2 linked regions of the Macaca fascicularis genome follow. The protein of the gene in region 1 purifies or fractionates together with the protein of each later gene. This does not show direct contact. Links are inferred from orthologs where the notes say so. Each region holds a gene or a part of one and is shown on either strand. Other genes may lie near its edges.

Evidence for each region.
Region 2: the proteins of tubulin alpha-1C chain (region 1) and TXNDC9 purify together in Homo sapiens (co-immunoprecipitation; 3 studies listed by BioGRID and IntAct, counting the BioPlex papers as one, with this or other methods). This does not show direct contact. The link is inferred for Macaca fascicularis from reciprocal best matches to the Homo sapiens genes TUBA1C and TXNDC9.

The regions. Positions count from the first base shown.
Region 1 is NC_088385.1:56,087,987-56,091,050, forward strand, and holds part of tubulin alpha-1C chain, read left to right. Parts: intron 1-1,716; coding exon 1,717-1,939; intron 1,940-2,069; coding exon 2,070-2,218; intron 2,219-3,064. UniProt on the Homo sapiens protein: Tubulin is the major constituent of microtubules, a cylinder consisting of laterally associated linear protofilaments composed of alpha- and beta-tubulin heterodimers.
Region 2 is NC_088387.1:3,821,865-3,825,687, reverse strand, and holds part of TXNDC9 (thioredoxin domain-containing protein 9), read left to right. Parts: intron 1-331; coding exon 332-450; intron 451-3,823. UniProt on the Homo sapiens protein: Significantly diminishes the chaperonin TCP1 complex ATPase activity, thus negatively impacts protein folding, including that of actin or tubulin.

The sequences.
Region 1 (3,064 bases):
CTTATGATGAAATACTAAACACCTGTTTTGTGTTCCTGTTAAGTCTGTGTGTACAGATTCTATGTTTGTTGCCTTATTTTACTAAGCAGGTGTGGGTTTGGTAACTTCTAACCATATTTTGCTTTGGCCCCTCTGGCCCTTCTAAATTGGTCTACCTCAAAAAATATAGAGAGAGAGAAAGAGAGACACAGACTGACTGAGTCTTGGCTGTTTCCCAGGCTGAAGTGCAGTGGTGAGATCTCTGCAGTCGCCGCCTCCTGGGTTTGGGTTCAGGTGATTCTCATGCCTCAGCTTACCCCAAGTAGCTGGGACCTATAGGCGCACACCACCGTGCCTGGATAATTCTCGTATTTTTTCTTTTTTTTTTTTTTGGAGACGGAGTCTTGCTCTGTCGCCCAGGCTGGAGTGCAGTGGCTGGATCTCAGCTCACTGCAAGCTCTGCCTCCCGGGTTCACGCCATTCTCCTGCCTCAGCCTCCCGAGTGGCTGGGACTACAGGCGCCCGCCACCACGCCCGGCTAGTTTTTCGTATTTTAGTAGAGATGGGGTTTCACCGTGTTAGCCAGGATGGTCTCGATCTCCTGACCTGGTGATCCGCCCGTCTCGGCCTCCCAAAGTGCTGGGATTACAGGCTTGAGCCACCGCGCCCGGCTAATTCCCGTATTTTTAGTAGAGACGGGGTTTCAGCATGTGGCCAGGCTGGTCTTGAACTCCTGACCTCAGGTGATCCGCCCACCTTGGCCTCCCAAAGTGCTGGGATTACTGGTGTAAGCCAGCACCTGGCCAGAAACAACTGATTTCTTAACCTATCAGTAAAGTCTTGGTAACATTTCTAGCCTTTATTATTATGGTCTTCCCTCTCCCGGAGATGTTTTGATGGTGAAGGAAAAATGTTCTTCCTAACAGATTCTTCTGCATGGTTAAAAAGCTGCCTCTGACCACAGTTTTTAAAATACAGCTAACTGCTGCTTATCCAGCATTTTCTTCATGAGTCATATGGCTGTAGTTTGCTGGTTTAAGCTGGTTTTAAAGGAGGGAGGCAGAAGCTTTTGTCTCCCAAAGAATAGGATTAAAGCAGGACCAGAATGAGCTCAGTAGTTACACAATCATTCAGAGAATGAATCAGAGCTGGAAAGGGGAATTTTGCCTTAGTTTAAGGAATCATATCTACTGTGGCTACAAAGCAACGGTCTGGTCTTGCCGAGTAGTTCATGAACATATCTTTGGTTTTCCAAGGCATTTTTGCTGAATTAGGTCTTCAAAAATTTTTACTTTTGAAAGTAGTCCCTGAGCAGGAGTGGCCTGCTGAAAAATGGTTATCTTTTTTTGTTTGAGATGGAATCTCTGTCACTCAGGCTGGAGGGCAGTGGTGTGATCTCAGCTCATTGCAGCCTCCACCTCCTGGGTTCAAGTGATTCTCCTGCCTCAGTCTCCCAAGTAGCTGGGACTTACAGGTGTGTGCCACTATGCCCGGCTAATTTTTTTTTTGTATTTTTAGTAGAGACACAGTTTTGCCATGTTGGCCAGGCAGGTCTCGAACTCCTGACCTCAGGTGATCACCTGCCTCAGCCTCCCAAAGTACTGGGATTACAGGCGTGAGTCACTGCGCCCAGCCAGTTATCTGTCTTGAAGGTTAATCAGTCATTAGGTGTGAATCATTCCTAAATGTCCCATCTGATGTATCATATCCTGACATTTTCCTTTCTTCCTCCCACAGCGTGAGTGCATCTCCATCCATGTTGGCCAGGCTGGTGTCCAGATTGGCAATGCCTGCTGGGAGCTCTACTGCCTGGAACATGGCATCCAGCCTGATGGCCAGATGCCAAGTGACAAGACCATTGGGGGAGGAGATGATTCCTTCAACACCTTCTTCAGTGAGACGGGCGCTGGCAAGCATGTGCCCCGGGCCGTGTTTGTAGACCTAGAACCTACTGTCATTGGTGAGTTGACCTCAGTAACCGAAGTGAGATCCCAGGGTGCTGGGACAGGAGGTCTGTCCTGGGGGCTCCGCTAGTCACCCACTCACCCACTCTTTCCTTCTCCCCTGCTCCTCACCGTCATCTTCTCCAGATGAAGTTCGCACTGGCACCTACCGTCAGCTCTTCCACCCTGAGCAACTCATCACAGGCAAGGAAGATGCTGCCAATAACTATGCCCGAGGGCACTACACCATTGGCAAGGAGATCATTGACCTCGTGTTGGACCGAATTCGCAAGCTGGTAAATAAAGTGGGGCAAGAGTTTCTTTTGTGGTTCTGAGACCAAACTACAAAAATCATTCTTTGCAACTGAAATGAGACTATTGGCATTGCAACTAAAATGCGACTGCTCACTAAATTAATTGGATCTCTGAACCAGATGGTCTTGGGTTTATGGGATAACTATGGGGTAGGAGGAAGTGCTCATTAGCCTATTTTGATTCAAGCTGAGACACCCCTTTTGAGGTCATCTTAGTCACACTGAGTGAGTAGGTGGCTGACTTCTATATACAACTAATTGATTAAAGTCACTTAAAAAATCTGGACTGGTTCCTTCATGTCAATAAAGTTCAGAGAACAAGAAGCCAGTGTCACACTGACAAGAAACAGCCAACAGTGGAAACTTCCAGTACAGCTGAAAGTGGAGTCGGGAGCTTCCTTATGAAGTGTGCTGTTTGGATCACTTTAAGAGCCTGGCAATCAGATGACTCTTTGCTCCTTAGGCATGTGGGCAGCTTGTAAGTAATTAACCAGAGATCAAGCATGATGGCCTGGGCAGAGTAACTTGTCAAGAAAATCACATTGTATTAAGCCCAGCCATGACTGCTCCATTCTAAAAAAAAGAATGGCCTCATCATTCATGGCTTCATACTTTCCTCAAATGTTTACGTAGTCTTCCCAGAAAAACTGGACTGATGTTTCCTATGCTTAAAAACTAAGCTTTAGTTACAAGCACTGACTTGGAAATCAGGACCTGCCTTTAGGGACAAATAAACCTAGTAGCTAGTTAGGGTTCTGGAGTGAGGTTTATTGCCTGCCAAAATAATTGCATTTGTCCTTAGCATTACTGGGTTCACAGGAGGCTTAA
Region 2 (3,823 bases), on another chromosome or scaffold:
AAGGCATGATCTGTCCGTCTTGGCCTCCCTAAGTGCTGGGATTACAGGCTTGAGCCACCGCGCCTGGCCCACTTAAAATTATTATCAGCGTGACAGTAATTATTTCCCTCCAGTATTGTGATATAGCTACGATATTGGGAACAGGCAACAGCTGTTGAGAATCGTGTTCCTTCAGTCCCTACTTGAAGGAACTAAAAAAAAAAAAAAAAAAAGTGGTTTTTTTGTTTTTAAATTCATTACAAAATACGACAGTGATTTGGACACTTAAAATGTCAAGTGGTGCTGAAAGAGAGATTTCACATGTGTCATGTTTTGCTTCTCTCCAAATTAGGAATGGCTTTCTAAAGGACACGGGGAATACAGAGAAATCCCTAGTGAAAGAGATTTTTTTCAAGAAGTCAAGGAGAGTAAAAAAGTGGTTTGCCATTTCTACAGAGACTCCGCATTCAGGTAACTTTGTTTCCATCTGTGACTTTTTCTTAAAAAAACCACAATGAATTGTTTGGATAAAGATACACTGGCTTACTAGAGAAATGAAGAAAACTAAAAGGAAAAACTTCCTAAGTTGTTTCATTGTACTCTCTCATACGTTATTTAGTATTAAGCAGGTGGGGGTCCAATCACTCAAGCCTGCAATCCCAGCATTTTGGGAGGCCGAGGGTGGGGGCGGATCACTTGAGGTCAGGAGTTCGAGATCAGCCAGGCCAACATGGAGAAACCCTGTCTCTACTAAAACTACAAAATTAGCCGGATGTGGTGGCAGGTACCTGTAGTCCCAGCTACTGGGGAGGCTGAGGTGGGAGAATTGCTTGAACCCGGAGACAGAGGTTGCAGTGAGTGGAGATCGTGACACTGCACTCCAGCTTGGGCGATAGAGTGAGACTCTGTCTCAAAAAAAAAAAAAAAAAAAAGAGAAAAAAAAAGTTAATCGTTATTTTAAGGAGTAACTTAAAGAACAGTTTCTTGCAAAAGTATAAATGGATATTACTGAAAGTCAGTATTCTCATATAAACGGCTTATGTTTTTGAATTGTGTTTTCACTAGCTAACTCTAAAAACATCTTAGAAATGTACACTTTAAATTCTTTTTTTTTTTTTTGAGACGGAGTCTCGCTGTGTCGCCCAGGCTGGAGTGCAGTGGTGAGATCTCAGCTTACTGCAATCTCCACCTCCCAGGTTCAAGCAATTCTCCTGCCTCAGCCTCCCAAGTAGCTGGAACTACAGGCACCTGCCACCACGCCCGGCTACTTTTTTGTATTTTTAGTAGAGATGGGGTTTCACTGTGTTAGCTAGAATGGTCTCAATCTCCTGACCTCATGATCCACCCGCCTCGGCCTCCCTAAGTGCTGGGATTACAAGCTTGAGCCACTGCGCTCAGCCCACTTAAAATTCTTATCAGCATGACAGTAATTATTTCCCTCTAGTATTGTGATATACCAGTCTTGGCTGGAAGGAGAAGTGATTTTTCTTAGACCACCCTACGTCTCCATATCTCTCTAAGGAGGCTGATCTCTTATAAAATGTTAATACCTCCCCAAAAAAAGTCTTATCTTAAACCAAAGGACCCAAGCCTTTGTGGGTTTTGGTGCACAGATTTGATTAGTCGCCAACACTTAAAAATTGAGAGATAACCCCTTTAGAAAATATCCACATTCGGAATTTTTCTTTAAAAAATATCAGAAAACTTACTAATAGCATCACTGGAACTAGAATGGCAGTCATCTGCTGACTGGCACCTGCCCACCCGGGACAGACAAGCACTGTGCTCTGGAGTCTCTGGCACTCACTGTGGTTTTGGGCCTGCTGTGTTTCTCATTTCTGTGGCCTGCCTGCCCCTTTGTCTTCATCTCACAACCCAACAGCTTCGTTGTTAACACCTTTCAAGAATTGATTGCCTGGTATTCATTGACTAAGAGAATAAAAATGAAAGAAAATATTGAGATGGTGAAATCCCTCGTGAGGAACAGTGAGAGAAGGGATTAGGAAGGTAGAAAGGTATCAGAGAAACCTCTGCCCTTGTGGTACACAGCCATCTCCCATTGGCACACATTCCTCTGTTGCCAACCTCTGACAAATAGGATGAAGTGATACATAAATATACTAGTATGTAAAATATTATTTGTCCACTTGTTTTTTTGTTTTTGAGAGAGTCTTACACTGTCACCCAGGCTAGAGTGCAATGGCGGGATCTCGGCTCACTGCAACCTCCACCTCCCAGGTTCAAGTGATTCTCCTGCCTCGGCCTCCCGAGTAGCCAGGACTACAGGAACCCGCCACCATACCTGGCTAATTTTTGTATTTTTAGTAGAGAAGGGGTTTCGCCAGGTTGGCCAGGCTGGTTTCAAACTCCTGACCTCAGGTGATCCACCCACCTTGGCCTCCCAAAGTGTTGGGGATTACAGGCATGAGCCACGGCACTCGGCCTCACTTGCGTTTTGTATGTCTTCCCCAACCAGATTGTTGTTTTTGTAGAGGCAGAGCATTTGCCTGTATTGTGGCCCACTGTGCTCTGGGATCATAGCCCTAAGGCAACTGCCTGACACATAGTAGTCAATAAATAATGTTTGATCGGTATATAAACAGTGCATCACCAGGAGTACTCACCTTCAAACAGAACTGAAAAATCAAAATCATCCAGTTAACTTTATATATTAGCAAAGTTTCTAGCTCATAGTAGGTAGGATGCTTTCATGTATATTATCCCTAGAACATTCACAATAATCTTCAGAGGCACTTATTATTATTCCTGTATTTCATGTGTGGAAACCAAGATTTGGAGAAATTAAGTGACTCACCTAGTATCACTCACATACTAAATAATTAAAAAAAAAAAAAAAGATTTGAACCAATGTTTCTTTGGATTTTTTGTTTTGTTTTGTTTTTGAGACAGAGTCTCTCTGTCGCCCAGGCTGGAGTGCAGTGACAACGATGTTGGCTCACTGCAACCTCTGCCTCCCGGGTTCAAGCGATTCTCCTGCCTCCGCCTCCTGAGTAACTGAGATTACAGGGGCACGCTACCAGACCTGGCTAATTTTTGTAATTTTAGATGGGGTTTTACCATATTGGTCAGGCTGGTCTCGAACTCCTGACCTCAGGTGATCCACCGACCTTGGCCTCCCAAAGTGCTGGGATTACAGGCATGAGCCACCATGCCCGGCTGAACCCATGTTTTAAGCCTATTGCTATTTTTTAAATTTTTGTGGGTAGTCATAGGTAAATATGGGGTACATGAGATATTTTAACACAGGCATGAAATGTTTAATAATCACATCAGGGTAAATGGAGTATCAGTCACCTCAAGCTTTTATCCTTTGTGTTATAAACAATCTAATTATGCTCTTTTAGTTATTTTTAAATGTACATAAAGGCCTATAGCTATTCATACCATGACTGTTGTTTTGGATTTTTAAAAATTGATTGACGGGTTGGGCACCGTGGCTCATGCCTGTAATGCTAGTACTTTGAGAAGCTGAGGCAGGCGGATCACGAGGTCAGGAGATCGAGGTCATCCTGCCCAACATGATGAAAACCCATCTCTACTAAAGTACCAAAACTTAGCTGGGCCTGGTGGCACGTGCCCATAGTCCCAGTTGCACAGGAGGCTGAGGCAGGGGAATTGCTTGAACCTGGGAGGCAGAGGTTGCTCTGAGCCGAGATCACACCACTGCACTCCAGCCTGGCAACAGAGCAAGACTCTGTCTCAAAAAAAAAAAAAAAAAATTGATTGACAAATGGTATAATCATAGACTTATTTAAAATAGGTTCGTGGCCAGGTGTGGTGGCTCACACCTGAAATCCCAGCACCTTTGGGAGGCTGAGGCCGG